Pelodiscus sinensis: one gene and its partner. Each later gene encodes a partner of the first gene's protein in a complex. Links are inferred from orthologs where the notes say so. Each region holds a gene or a part of one and is shown on either strand. Other genes may lie near its edges. The genes, in order: RAB11FIP2 and RAB25.

The links.
Region 2: the proteins of RAB11FIP2 (region 1) and RAB25 are in contact, whole or in part, in a crystal structure (PDB 3TSO), measured with the Homo sapiens proteins. The link is inferred for Pelodiscus sinensis from reciprocal best matches to the Homo sapiens genes RAB11FIP2 and RAB25. Residues at the interface, in NP_055719.1 of Homo sapiens: Arg475, Glu478, Ile481, Asp482, Asn483, Leu485, Val486, Met489, Pro493, Ser494, Leu496, Arg497, Val498, Pro499; in NP_065120.2 of Homo sapiens: Arg34, Ile45, Gly46, Val47, Glu48, Phe49, Ser50, Thr51, Lys62, Trp66, Arg73, Arg75, Ala76, Ile77, Ala80, Tyr81.

Annotation. Positions count from the first base shown.
Region 1 is NC_134718.1:60,112,816-60,120,242, forward strand, and holds the start of RAB11FIP2 (rab11 family-interacting protein 2), read left to right. Parts: upstream 1-4,174; 5' UTR 4,175-5,687; coding exon 5,688-6,040; intron 6,041-7,427. UniProt on the Homo sapiens protein: A Rab11 effector binding preferentially phosphatidylinositol 3,4,5-trisphosphate (PtdInsP3) and phosphatidic acid (PA) and acting in the regulation of the transport of vesicles from the endosomal recycling compartment (ERC) to the plasma membrane.
Region 2 is NC_134734.1:16,798,871-16,806,737, forward strand, and holds the start of RAB25 (ras-related protein Rab-25), read right to left. Parts: upstream 3,192-7,867; 5' UTR 2,871-3,191; coding exon 2,831-2,870; intron 1-2,830. UniProt on the Homo sapiens protein: The small GTPases Rab are key regulators of intracellular membrane trafficking, from the formation of transport vesicles to their fusion with membranes.

The DNA of each region.
Region 1 (7,427 bases):
AATGAACAATTATTACAGAATTATAATGGTTAGCAATGTTGTGGAGAATGAGAATGTCTGTCAGGCTACGTCTACACTCATGGCTTATTGCGCAAGAACATCTTGCGCAAGTGTTCTTGTGCAAGAACTCTTGCACAAGAAAACGTCCACACTGCCATGTGCGAGCTGTGTTTTTGCACAAGAGCGCCCATGGCAGTGTGGATGCTTTCTTGCGCAAGAAAGCTATGAAGGTCATTTTAGCCTTAGGGCTTTCTTGCACAAGAAATCCCTGCTGAGCGTCCACACAGCCCTCTTGTGCAAGAGCTCCTGTGCAAGAGGGCTTATACCTGTCAAAAAAGAGCGTAGCTCTTGAGCAAGGAGCCCCCTTTACCACGCCGTACTGTAAATTTACTTGCACAAGAGCAGGCGGGCAGTGTGGACGCTCTGCAGATTCTTGCACAAGAATGGTCATAGTTGTGCAAGAAGCCATGAGTGTAGACATAGCCTTATTGTTTATAAGTGTCATAAGGTCCTCAGTTTACCTGTGTGATAAGATCCTCCCTGCCATTACAGAGTTAACTAAAAGGAGGCTGTAAGGAGGAACTCGCCAGAAAACAAAATACTGACCAAGACAAGGAAGTCTTGCCCTGTAACGATTATAGTTACAATTAAAACAGTCTTAATTCTCACGTGCACCATCTTTCTCTATTAATTCACTCTTCTACATGTGCTTGGCCCAAGAGATCAGTATTTAAATAAATCTATAGGATTCCAAGAGTTGTGGCAGAATTCTGTAATTTTCAGTAATTTTTAATACCCTCTCTGCTCTCACCCAGGGAACCGACAATGCATCTCTAATTCCACATCAGAGTTGACACTTCAGCTGCCCCAGCAAAAGAAAACACTCTCCTTTTACACTTGGCTGCTCTGAGACCATTCCATTCTTCTGTTTCATTTCCGATTGCATGCAGAACAGTACTTATTGAAGAGGATCAACACATTTGTCTGTACTTGTAGAGGTAAGCGAATTTATTGTGGCAAATAATGTATTTGATGAATGAATTTCTCTATGGTTTCTGTTTGCAAATTGAAAAGTTTGCAATTTTTGCATTATTTGGAATTGTTTGCCAGGTAATTTTGGTGAGAAATGTTTGGTCAGCAGATCACTGGTACCTATCTGCTTGAAACTTTGGATTATTGGGTGATACATGTTATTTCTGAGGGGACACAGGTTACAGGGTATACTTTTATTCCTGATTGGATGGCCAGCGCTCTTAGTGTCTGTACAAATACTCAAGCTTCAAATTCTGTTTCTGTTATCTATACTTGTGAAAGTTATAATCAAGGTGTTCACAAGATCCCAAAGAATCTTCTCCCTGCCTCCAAATCAGCCAACTTTTTGCAAAATAGCATTGCCATAGTCTTCTCATCTTACCCTTTCCCCTATGCGTTACCTATCAGATCCTCTGCTTTTTAATATCCTTGATGAATTTCCTTGACCATTCATCCCTTCATGTTCCTTATGTCTTTCCATCCCCACTTAAGTATTTGCCATATCTAAGAGATGATCACCGGAGATGATGAAGGGGGATGTAGGAGAGGCAAAGAAGGAGCATGTGTGTGGAAGAGCTGCTCATCCTGAACAACCAATGTGCAGCCTTAATTCCAATGTCAAATATATTGCACTTTAACTAATAGATATGCAGGATAATAGTTGTAATTTACACTCCAAAATTAATACCAAATTTATTACAATAAATGTTCCAATAATGAACATGGACGATCCTTTTAACTTTTTTTTTCAACATTACAAAAAATATCTTGCAGCTTACACCAACAGAAAACTACGTACACAGTGATTTATGAAGGACACACCAACCATGTTTAATCATCAGTACAAATAGATAGTCTACAGTCAGAGTTCAAGAGTACCAGTAGTTGGTTCAGTATTGGTGGGTTTGTGTTGGTAGGACATAGTTTAGCAACCAAAATGTGTCTGTCAGATATTCAGTTTAGCATCCATAACATGTCTGCATGTGTATTTAGAAATATAGCTAATATCTGTAGCACACAGAAGTCTCCTGTGGGATAATACCATTCAAATTATATACAGTAGAACCTCAGAGTTAAGAACACTACAGGAATGTTTGTAACTATGAAATATTTGTAACTATGAACAAAACATTATGGCTGTTCTTTCAAAAGTTTACAAATGAATATTGACTTAATACAGCTTTGAAACTTTACTATGTGAAAGAAAAATGTTTTTACCGTCTTAATTTAAATGACACAGGCACAGAAACAGTTTTCTTACCTTGCCAAATCTTTTTTTTTTTTATAAACTTTTCTTTAGTTTTTAGATTATATTTAACCCAGAACTCTACTGTATTGGTTTTTATTTGTTTTGTTTCTGCTATTGCCTGATTGCCCACTTCTGGTTCCAAATGAGATGTGTGGTTGACTGGTCACTTGTAACTCTGTTGTTCATAACTCGGGTTCTACTATATTTCCAAACAATTTATACTTATTTTTGCTAATTAATTTAAATTAAATGGCGTGGTGAAGGTTGGGAAATGAGATTTCAGAGTTTCTTGAAACAGACTGCAAAATCTTGAATCACAGGAGTGAAAATTTTGAAAACTTCCTTTAAAATGGCAGACATGCATGACAGGTTTGGACTAGTTGTACATCTAGACTTGTTCACCATGTGTGGACTCTGATTGCTAACGCAGAACTGGTGACATATTGGGTAGTGTCAAAATGCTAAGACAATCTGAATGATCTATATATCAAGAAATTGTATTTTAAATGTTTTTATTTAAATATGTAGCATGTCTCCTTTCAGTTGCAAGAGTTTTTTTCATAGAATTATAGAAAGAACAGATAGGGCTGAAAGGGTCCTTGAGAAGTCATCAAGTCTAGCAAACTCTACCAAGTCAGGAACAACCTATACCAACCTTGGAAGGTGTTTGTTCAACCTGTTCTTAAAGATCCAATGATGAAAATTCTACAACCTCTCCTGGAAGCTGGTTCCGGCACTCAACTATGCTTGTGTACTGAAAGTCTTTTCCTGGTATTGATCCTACATTTTCCTACTTACAGCTTAAGCCCATTATTTTGTGTCCTGTCTTCAGCAGGCCAGAAGAGCAAATTATCATTATTCTCTTGAATAAAAGTGTTCCATATATTTGAAAACTCTTAATAGACTATCTGTCCCCTACCACCCGTTTTCTTTTCTTACATTTCAAACATTATTTTAAAATTAAGCACAGCCTGGAGTCTCTCCTCTCTTCCAGAAAATGGTGCTTTCAGCTTCAACCCAAGGCTGTGTCTAGACTGGCCAGTTTTTCCAGAAAATCAGCCACTTTTCCAGAAAAACTTGCCAGCTGTCTACACTGGCCACTTAAATTTCTGCAAAAGCACTGACTTCCTACTGTAAGAAATCAGTGCTTCTTGCGGAAATACTACGCTGCTCTTTTGCGAAAAGGGGCCAGTGTAGACAGCTCGGATTTGTTTTCCGCAAAAAAGCCCTGATCGCTAAAATGGCGATCTGGGCTTTTTTGCGGAAACGTGCGTCTAGATTGGCACGGACGCTTTTCCGCAAAAAGTGCTTCTGCGGAAAAGCATCTGTGCCAATCTAGACGCTCTTCTCCGAAAATGTTTTTAACGGAAAACTTTTCCGTTAAAAGCATTTCTGGAAAATCATGCCAATCTAGACGTAGCCCAAGATATTGGGGGTGGAGGGGTAGAGGGAAGGTGCAGGAGATTGGAATTTCTTCCTCCCCTGGTTTGAAATAGGAGGCATTCGAACCCCAGCCGCCCATGCTTAGAGGACCCCTACTGCACCCCAGTGATGGCTTCTTGTGCCTCTAAAAATAATAGGGAGTTTTCTTTCTTTCCCCCTAGCCAAGATTAGGGGGCTTTCCTCTATCTTCCCACTAATAGTCCAAGGTGCCCCCTCACCCCCAGGAGCGGGTTCCTCTATTCTCCCTCTCCTCCGATGTTGGGGTGAATTCTTCTGCCCATAAATAAGGGATCCGTCTTCTCTATGACTGCTCGGGAGTCCCCCCAGGGTGAGGGGCCCCGCTTCCCCCGCAGCCAGGCGTGAGCGGGCCTCGCTCCCTGCAGCCAGGCCCGGAAGCTCCGGAGCAGGGTGGGGTTTGGCGGAAAGGCTCGGGGCTCTCAGGAGCCGGGCCGGATTGAACCCTGCCCCCTGCCCTCTGACCGCCGCGGAGGCAGCCGCAGCGGAGGGAAGGCGGAAGCGGCAGCGCCGGGCTCGGCAGCAGCAGGCCGAGCGCCGCAGACTCTGCGGGCGGAGGGGGGGCGGCGTCAGTGCGGGAAGCGAGCGCGCCGCGAGCCGCCGGGCACGCTCGTCCGTCCGCCGCCGGGGAGCCCAGCCTGGCACCGCCGCGCTCCAGGGGCCGCCCTTCGCCGCTGGGGACGGAGGCGCCGAGGCTGTAAGGGGCCGGGGGAGGCCTGCGGGGGCGGGGGCAAAGCGACCCTGGCCAGCGGCCGGGGGGAGGGAGAGGACCGCAGGGCTCCTCACAGCCGGGCAGGGAGAGGACCCCAGGGGCAGTCTGAGGGAGGGTCTGAGCGGGGAACCCTGGGGGCTTCCCAGATTTGGGAGGGGGGAGTCAGAGGGGACCCTAGGGGCTTCCCAGATTTCGGGGGGTAAGATGGTAAACTAGAGGGTTCCCAATTTTTTTTGGGGGGGGGTGGTAAAATGGCACACTAGAGGGTTCCCAGATTTGGGGAGGTAAGATGGTAAACGAGAGGGTTCCCAGATTTGGGGGGGAGGGTAAAATGGCACACTAGAGAGTTCCCAGATTTGGGGGGGGGGTAAGATGGTGCACTAGAGGGTTCCCAAATTTTGGGGGTTAATATGGTACACTAAAGAGTTCTGAGATTTGGGGGGGTAAGAGTATGCTAGGGGGTTCCCAGATCTGGGGGAGGGAGTAAGAGGAGACCCCTAGGGATTTTCTAGATCCACGGAGAGGTGGTACAAAGGGGGCTTTGCAGTTTTGAGGGGAGGACTAAGCAAGGTGATCCTGGGCTACCCAGCACCCAGTGGAACATGGTGGGAGAGGAGAGTGCTATGAAGGGGACCTAGGACTGAACATGCAGGGCTGATCTATATGGGAGGGTATGTTGGGGCTTCTGGGATGATGTGCGGTAAGGGAGGGACCAGGGAGTATTTAGCCCTGGAGGGAGTTTGCGAAGCAGAAGAGAGACAGGCTACAGTTGGTTACAAACCTTGAAACCTCATTCCTTTATTTATCTCACCCTGGGCCCCTTTCTTCTTGCAATGAGGTAGGAACAGTACATTAGAAGGCCTTGCAGGGAATGGGAAATTTTAAAGTTCAGGGTTGTCTTTACAGGAGTTGGGAGTTGGGGGGTGTTTTTTTTTAATGATGTGAGGGGGGAAAACTGAGTAAAGAAGAGTTCATTAATTGTTGTGGAAGAAAAAGAATATATGAGTGATTTTTTTCTATTTTTAAAATTAGTAATAGAACTGAAGGTGTTACTTTTTTGGAGGGAAAATCTAAGCAATGGTTAGTGTGTCTCAAAAAAACAAAAACAACCAAACTCAGTACTGAGAGAAATAACGCTGGGACTTTCATAGATATCCCTACTTTAAGTGCACTTATGCAGTAACTAGAAGATTTAGAAACTTTATTGTGTTGCTACAACTACTGAACTCTTCAAAGATGATGTTGGCAGAGCAAGCCCAGACGTGGTTCCCAACCCACGTACAGGTTACAGTTCTTCAAGCCAAAGATCTGAAGCCAAAAGGCAAAAATGGCACCAATGATACCTACACTATCATACAACTGGGCAAGGAAAAATACTCCACCTCGGTGGCTGAGAAGACCTTAGAACCAGTCTGGAAAGAAGAGGCATCATTTGAGCTCCCTGGATTACTGATGCAGGGGAATCCAGAGAAATACATTCTTTACCTGATTGTCATGCACAGGTCGCTGGTGGGCCTGGATAAATTTTTGGGACAGGTGGCAATAAATCTTAATGATATATTTGAGGACAAGCAACGAAGAAAAACAGAGTAAGTGATGTTTTGTATTACAGTTTTTTGGGTTTCTTAAGTATGTGGTTCTAGATCAGAAGCCTTATAGCTACAATAAAATTAATTGAAACTAATAGGTATAATAGATTATGTGGCTCATAAGCCTCTGTCATACAATGAGCTCTTCAAAGGAGTATCCTCATTTAAATCAGTAGGTTTTCCTGTGATTACACATGCCCATCTGGACAGAGTAGGACTATAGATAATAAAATTATCTACAATAATTACATTTTTTTTAACATTAGCTTCTTACAGTCCATTTTTTTCATACTCATCAGTTGTAAAACCATTTTCAACTTGTGCAACACAATTTAGACTATATATTTCCCAGATCTGGGAGGAGGAGAGGAAGGGGAAGTAAGTCTGAATATAGTCCAACTCAAGCAATGTCTAGTATCAACCAATGTAATGTAGTGTTAAGTGTTCATATTCTGCAAAACTGACTCTTAAATTTTCCGTATTATTTAGTGCTGAATGAACGTTGTCTAAATTAAGGTTTACCACTAGTGTACTGTGTACTTTTCTGATTAGAGTTTTAGGTATTGAGCCTGCAAACTGTTCTGCACTGCAGGCCCAGACAGAGAAGCTTGTTAGGGTAAGGTTTGGGCTTTAGCGATGAAGTGGAGTTGGTCTGTTCTTATTAGTCCAGTTCCTAGAAGTTTCTTCCACTTTAGTAGCCTTCAGCAGCAGATATTCTTTTGTTAAATAAAACTATAATTGACCAACAAATTCTGCAACTAGAACTTAAAGGAAAGAATGCAGAAGTTAATAAATATCATTTTGCATAGTATGTGTACTATATATTTAAAGACTGAGTATCCTAAGACCTGGTGAACATCCTCTTTTTTTTTTTTTTTTTTTTTTTTTTTTTTGTACTGGTCTAATTTTTTTGTATTAGGGTGTGTGTTTTTTAACTGACGTAGTTAAATTGGTTCAACCCTTGTGTGGACCCAATTATATTTGTATAGTGTGGGTTATTTTTCTAAATATACAGGAATAAATTGTATTTGTTTAAGTACCTTTGTACTGATACAGATATATCTACATTAGAGGTCATATAGCTTTAAATGGACCAGTCCAAACGAGTATAGTTAAATCAGTCTAAAAACAGTGTGGCCAAGCTGTAAGTTAGGTGTATAAATTGTACTTGCTAATTCGGCTTTAACAGTCTATAGGCCCAGTTTTACAGTTAACTCTGCTTGTGTGTAGAGGTCTGTTCAACCTGTCAGCTGCAGAATCATGGCAAAGGTTATTTTTGAATGTATTGTCTTTTTAAAGACAGGCCAAAAGAATTGCAGCTGTACCTCTGAAATAGATGCTAACACTTACAACCTTAATGGTGTGCTAATTTCTATTTCAGTTTGAT
Region 2 (7,867 bases), on another chromosome or scaffold:
CATAAGAACGTAAGAACGGCCGTACTGGGTCAGACCAAAGGTCCATCTAGCCCAGTATCCTGTCTACCGACAGTGGCCAGCACCAGGTGCCCCAGAGAGGGTGGACCGAAGACAATGATCAAGCAATTTGTCTCCTGCCATCCCTCTCCAGCCTCTGACAAACAGAGGCCAAGGACACCATTTTATCCCCTGGCTAATAGCCTTTTATGGACCTAACCTCCATGAAATCATCTAGCTTCTCTTTAAACTCTATTATAGTCCTAGCCTTCACAGCCTCCTCTGGCAAGGAGTTCCACAGGTTGACTACACGCTGTGTGAAGAAGAACTTTCTTTTATTAGTTTTAAACCTGCTCCCCATTAATGTCATTTGGTGTCCTCTAGTTCTTCTATTTATAACTTTTCTTTATCGGCCCTCTCCACACCACTCATGATTTTATATACCTCTATCATATCCCCCCTCAGTCTCCTTTTTTCTAAACTGAAAAGTCCCATTCGCTTTAACCTCTCCTCATATGGGACCCGTTCCAAACCCCTAATCATTTTAGTAAAAGTTTGGGGCCTAGTTGCCAGAGCCACTGTCCTTCTCCCAGTGAAATAAGGGCATACAGACCTGGCTAGAAAGTAATAAACATTTTCCCCTGCAAATAAAAATTTTGGTTTAAATGTTTTTTTCCAGAAAAACCAAAACATTTTCCTTGTTCGAGAAAATAAATTTGGTGGGTTTTTTTGTTTTGTTTTTTAAATCTGGCTTTTGTTGCAATTCCAGTTACTGAAAGCAGTTTGACTCAGGTTAGAAGAAACTGCGCTCTAAAGGGATGCAATCCAGTTAGGGCCTGATCCTGTCAGCAGGCATTACGCCATGTTGGCATTAATACTTTTTACATTACAGTAGTACTTGGAGGCTCATACCAAGACTGAGGCCCCAGCATGACAGGGGGCCATGACAACCCAGAGCAAGAAACAGTCTCTGCTCCTTATGGGGCCTGAGAAACACAGATTATTTTAATTGTATCCTTTGGTATATATGGTTGTGACTATTTTCTTCCATTATTTGATCTGAGGAAGTGGGTCTGGCCCATGAAAGCTCATCACCTAATAAACCATCTTGTTAGTCTTTAAAGTGCTACATAGTCCTGTATTTTGTTTCAGCTACACCAGACTAACACGGCTACATTTCTATCACAGATTAGAAGTGGGTCTGGCCCATGAAAGCTCATCACCTAATAAACCATCTTGTTAGTCTTTAAAGTGCTACATAGTCCTGTATTTTGTTTCAGATTAGCCACAGTACTTGTTGCATTCCGGCCACACCCCAATCCTCCCTCTATGTTTATGGCCCTTTCCTCAGCTCCAAACCAGTTGGGACAGCCCCTTGTGCAAGCAGGATCCTTACATGGCTATTTCCACCCTTTAAGGCTGCTCTCCACTTCGTGCTGGTCTTTGCACCCCTTCTGATCCGGTAGCACTTTGCATAGATGTAAATGCGCACTCACAGTGTGGGGTGATGGAGAACCAGCTCCCAAGGTGGGACAGTCCAGACATCCATCGGGATTCAAATGCCTGGGGATCTGGATTGACAGAAGCCCCAAACCTCCACACTGAGCTTAGCACCATTCCACCAACCCCCCGCAGCAGTGACACTGTAACACTGGCTACTTCTGATTGTCCAGCTAGGCCAGCAGCGACGAGTACCTAATACTCAAGAGCATGGCTTCCCAAACTGGGGTGTGTGAAGAAATTCCCGGGGGGGGGGGAGGAGCACGAGGCGACCCAACCCCCCCCTCCCCCATCAAGTTTTGCTGCCCCAGTCAGTTCCTTTTTTTTTTTTCCTCAACAAATTTTGCTATTTTGGGGGAAGGGAATGTGAGGGTTTTTGAAAAATCAAAAAGTGGGTGTGATGCTGAAAAGTTTGGGAACTGCTGCTCAAGAGGGAGGTGTCAGACCCCCTGACTGCATCCCACAACGCACCCGTCAGTCCAGGCACCGAGCTGGGCTGTTGATTTACTGATGGGATACTCAGTGGGTCACAATCTTGGACAATTTGGGAGAGGAGGGTATAGCTGAGGGGCTCATCTGAGCCAAATTCCTGGTGTAGCTCCACTGACTTCTTTAGGGCTTATGCCCTGGTGAAGTGGGATTTGGCCACAGGGATGGACCGAGGTCAAAGAGCCACCTCGAAGGACTCCTCATAACCACAGGAGAAAGACCCTTTCCCCCAGTTTCTGTTCTGGATGGCTGCTTCCCCTCCACCTCTTGTGGTACATGCCCTAGCCCAGTGGTTCTCAGCCAGGGGTGGGGGGAAAACATGTGTACACCTGTGGGTCTTTCAGAGGGTACATCAGTTCATCGAGATATTTGCTCCGTTTTACAACAGGCTACATAAAAATCACTAGCAAAGTCCATACACACTAACATTTCATACAGACAGTGACTTGTTTGTACCGTGCGCCACACTGAAATGTAAATACGATATTCATACCCCGGTGGATTTATTTTATACTTCGGTGGTAAAAATGGGAAAGTCAGCAGATTTTGGAGTAGCCGTGCACGGCGAGATTTTTGTGTTTCGACGTCTGGTTTTGTAAGCAAGTCATTTTTAAGTGAGGGGAAACGTGGGGCTTGCAATTCAAATCGGACTCCTGAAAGGGATACAGTTGTCCAGAAAGGTGAACAGCCACTGTCTCAGCCCATCACTGCTGCAGCTGGTCTCCCCACATCCATCCATCCATCCTTTGCCCACCTCTCCCCATGCCCCCAGTTCCACCCTTCCAAAAGGCAGAACTAGCACATTGAAACCTAGTCACCGAATGAGGGTGCCGGCAAAACTTACCCTTAAAGACAAAGTTATAATTCTCCTCAGCTGTCCCCATCTTTCCCAGCCACACCTGGCCCCCCTCCGGCCTGGGATCCTCCTCTCAATCTTTGCTTGCTTCCTTACCAGCCAGGGTGTGGGGGAGTTTTCTTTTTTGCCAGGCTCTGATAAACCAGGAAGAGAGAGGACAAAATTTCCTCCTAAGCCAGCGAAGCTGAAAGCGATTGGGAGGAGAGTTGCCAGAGGGGAGGAGACCCACAGAGCCAAGTTCCCTTTACTGCACCAGCTCCCAAAAACCCAGCTTCTGTGTCCTGTTGTCAGAGGGACTGGGCGGGGAATAGATCCTTTCTAGGCGGGTTGAAGGTGCAGCTCTGCAGGGCTGGCTGACTCAGTGAGGTGTGACCCGGGTGTCGCTGTACAGGTTTGTCAGGTAGTGCAAACCACCCCCACCAGCGTCACATGGTTGCTGGGCTCACCCGTACTGGCCTCGGCTTAACTTCACCCTAGGTGTAGAGCAGGAGTGGGGAACCTTTTTGGGTCGGGGGCCACTGACCCACAGGAAAAACGGACGGGGGCTGCATATAAAGTGAGAAGAAACAAACAAGCAAACAAAACTCCTTAGTGACGTGGCTCCCAGCTGAAGAGAAAGACACTCTCCACATTCCCCTTGTGAACCAGAGCCTAAGGGGTCCAGCCTAGTACATTATGTGTGCCCAGTGAGGTGAACCTCGGAAGGCTGGATCCAGGCAAGCCGGGGGCCACATCCGGCCCCCAGGCCTGAGGTTCCCCACCCCTGGTGTAGAAGGACCAGTTTGAGTGGGGGGTTTCATCACAGGATATGAACTCATAGGAAAGATGAATCTTTCATTCCTGGGGATGCCAGAGGAATTCTGAAGGGCTGGCAAGTCTCTGGAGGAGGGAGGGCCAGCAGGAAGCCAGACAGCAGGGTGTGGGAGGCAGAGGGGACAAGGAGAAAGAGCTGAGGATGGAGAGAGGAGCAATTTGCCTGCGGAACCAACTCTGCGGATCTGGGTCAAGTGCCTCAAAAAACACGCTTTGCCTCAGGTGTGTCTATGCCTACAGCGGGCTCCCCTGGAAACAGTCCATGCCTGTCTGGTGACACACCAGGGAGTGAATCAGGGATCTGCAGCGTGAAAAGTCTGAGCCCCCTTATCGCTTCAGCTCAGCCCTGCAGCCTGACTTCTGTGGCTGGGACCAAGAGAGAGGCCTGTAACACACACTCTGGCCTGGGGCTGACACCGTTTATTTCCTGAAGGACTCCTTGGAGGAGCAGAGTGCCAAGGGGACTGACTATTTGAGAGGGGAAGGGATGAACTAACAGGAGTCTGGCTGGGGTTGACAAGAGGGGATGCAGAGGAGGGTCCAGTTGTACCAGGGCTCCAAGTTCGAGGAGCCCCAAAATATCTGTGTAAAGAAAGTGACAGGCAGAGCCATCCCATCTGTGGTAGGATGAACCAGGGTGGCTGCTCCGGCTCCTGGTGAATATGGGGGGGGGGCTCTAATCCAGGACGTTGTTTGGGGGAGGTGATGGTGGTGGGCAGGAGCACAGCAGCAATGGGGCTTGGGGAAGGGGAGGGGAACAAGGGTGGGGCCTGAGGTGGGGAAGGGGGATCCCAGGGCTTGGAGCACTGAGGGTCATCCAGGCCCTGCACCCCCCTAGGGATGGCCCTGGTGACATGGGGGGAGCCCCAGGGAATACAATGTACTTGGGCCCCAATTGCCCCTTGCTCTGCCCCTGCAGACCGTGTGCCTGCTGTGACTAAGGTGAACCCACGGAGCATGAGAGAGGCATTCTCAGTCATCCGTGTGCGAATGACTCGCGCACCTCAGCGGTCCATGGAGGTGACCTCTGGACTCCGTGCTGTACATAGACCCAGTGAGAGACAGACCCTACCTGAAGAGACAGCTTACCAATGCAAACAGCGGCCCAAAGGCTGGGGAGGGGTTTGATTTCCATGGTTCAAAACCCAGCTCTCCTGACTCCAGCCCGGTGGGCAACCCCTGAGCCAGGCCCTCCTCTCACAAGCAGGTCCTGTCACTGCATCAGCATCTGCTCTGGGGACTGGTAGAAGAGACACTGGAAAGGCCTCTAAAGAGGAGCTGAGGGAAAAGGTTTTAAAGTGGCTCAGGCTGGTGGGGGGAAGGCCCCCAATATTTCATTCCGCAAATGGGGTTCTCATTGCCTAGCCTTAGAGCAGGGGTGGAGAACCGACGGCGTCAGGGCCCTCCTAGCATTAGGGAATCGACATTGTTCCTGCAAGGGGCTGGAGCACACAAAATCGACTAGCCTGGGCCTGCCTAGACTCTGGTGTGAGGGGAATGGCTCAGTTGGGGGGTTTGTTGGGTTTTTGTTTGTTTGTTTTGTTTTTTTCGTTCTCACTTGGGGGCGGCCCCCGACTGATTTTTCTGTGGGTCTGTGGCCCCCGACCCAAAAAAGGTTCCCCACCCCCGGCTTACAGCCACTACAGGGCAGTGAGCGAACCCAGGGCTGCATGAGGCAAGTCCCTAGCTCCACCCCTGCTGCCTGAGGCCCCGCCCCTGCTGCCCAAGGCCCCCATGGAACCCAAGACCCCACACTGTAGGGGCAGGCCACCCCCACCCTAGCTTTCCCTAGAGCACAGGGAGGGTCGGTGGCCCCCCCCTCCAAACCCAGAGGGCAGGCAGCGAGCGGCTCCTCTGGCCTTGGAGCCCGGGTGATGCTGAAGCCCAGGCACCCCAGGAGACTGGAGGGAGCCACACTGAGTGGGAGGGGGTTTGGGGGCAGAGTGTGGGTGGGACCAGCCAGGTAGCTTGGGAAGGTATTGCCTTCCCTTGCCTCTTACACCTGCCACCCATGAGCCGCTACGATCCCGCCGCTGGATCCCCAGAGCTGCCACTGCAGGAGAATGATCAGCCCTTGGACGGATCTTAGGTACGGGAGGCAGCGCGACTGAGCCAACAGGGCTTTCGTCTATGCCTGGGACCGCACCTCTTTCCGGCTGGGCAGGGAGCTGTGTGAGCTAATGCCACCGCCTACGTAGGCAGGTGAAAACTCAGCAGGGGGTGGGAGAGGCCAAGTCACAGGAGGAGAAATCAGAGCCATTAAGGGCTTAGCGCTACCCAGCACCGACGCTGTGCGCTCGTGAACTATTTCATGCTAATGCGGGGTGGGGGGGTATGCGAAGTCCAGGAGGCTAATTCCCCATTGTACTCTTTTTACATGGCTCAGGAAGCCCTTTTTACATGGCTCGGGAAGCAAGTGAAATCCTGGCCCTACCAGTGGTGCTAGAACAATTCTTGATGTGAGCTGCACCCCGCCCCAGCTGTGGCTGCGCCCCAAACCACTCCTTAGAGCTGGGGCTGGCAGCAAAGCCCCTGAGGCTAGCAGCTGAGTAAGACCCAGGGTGGACAATGGAGTTCCTGGGCATGGGGCCAGCTGGCAGTGGGGTCAGTGTCTGGGAGCCCAGCATGCAGGGTGGGCAGTCAGGACTCTGGAACCTGCAACAGAGCAGCCAAGACACAGGGTGCAAAAACTGAGGGTAGTGCAGCACCCCATACACCCATACTTCCTGCGCTTATGGGTGCCACTGCTGTTACTGGCCAAGCTCCCATGGGCCTCCCTCATTATAGCTCATAGTTTTCTTCTGCCACTCCCAAAGGAGAGCAGTATCATTACTCCCATTTTACAGGCAGGGAAGCTGAGGCACAGAGCAAGCAAGTGACTTGCCCGAGGTCACCCAACAGTCCAGAAGCAGGACTAGAATACAGGTCTCCTGACTCCCTGTCCAAAGCACTAGGCTACGCTGCGTCCCCCTTAGCTCTGAGTTAGCAAATTTCCTTCTATTTCCATAATTTGTATAAACATGAGTGGATTAGAGGAGGAGATACAACTATTTTGGATTTGTCTACACAGTGCCACAGCCCCGACTCAGGGCATGTGAACTGGTGTGTGCTCTCATTGGCTGCTACTCTGTGCAGACTCTGCCAGCATGAAAAGGTGCCTAGTTTGCATTGATGTAGCTCTGTGTCAGACAGGACCATGTGAACACAAAAGTTGGGTAGCTTTTAGTTCACACCCCCTGGGCCAGCCCAGGGCAGGCAGAGCATGGTACCATCCTCCGACCCGCTGATCTTGGCATGACCCAAGCCTTAACCCTGGGCACAGCACTACATGAACTGGCTAGTTTCACTTTTAAAAAACACCAGGACAGCTTCTCCTGCTGTTGGTGCAGATCAGAAATAACTCCACTTACACTGTGGTAGGAGGGGGAGAATCGGGTGTTTGTGGGCCTCCTACCACCGGTGGCTGGATTTACAGAATCAGACCTGGACACTGCTGGTATCTCCAAGAACAGACACTCCGAATTCATGTCTGTAGTCAGTCACGGGGGTGTAAATCCAGATTGACTCGCTCCAGATTTACACCAGTGTTACTGGCAGCAGAGCATTTTCGGTTAGGAAATGAAAGTTGCATTCCTTATCCTCTGCTGCCATCATGTGAGCAACAGAGGGAAAAACTAGACAGCTCAGCAACCCCTGAATCCTCTTTAGCCTTCTGCCCCAGGCCAACGTGTTCAAAAATCCATCACCACTTGCTTCAGTAGAAGCTGCAAGAACCCCACTTCTCCCTCCCAAATAGGCAGCCATGCCTCCTTCCCCCTTGAAACTCCCTCACTGTTAGATTGCTTGAGGCCTTAATGCCAAGGCTCTGCCTTTTAAAAGGGCTCCCCCAAATGCTCTTGCATGCAACCTATTAGACCACTTAAACTAGTGCTCAGTCACCAGAGTGATGGGCTCAGTACCAGAACCTACATAAGTGTCTAGTCCTGCTTCCTTAAATTCTTGCCCTCTGTATGATCCTGTGGCAGAGAGTTCCACAGTCTAATTTCACAGTAGATTGAAGGGGGAGGGGGAACCTTGTGAGATGTACATAGTGGCGCACAGACCTAGGCACATTACAGTAATACCTAGAAGCACCACCCGAGGCATGTGCTAGGGTAATGTGAAGATACAAGCAAGGGATATCCCAACCCCAGAAAGCTTGCAGTCTAAATA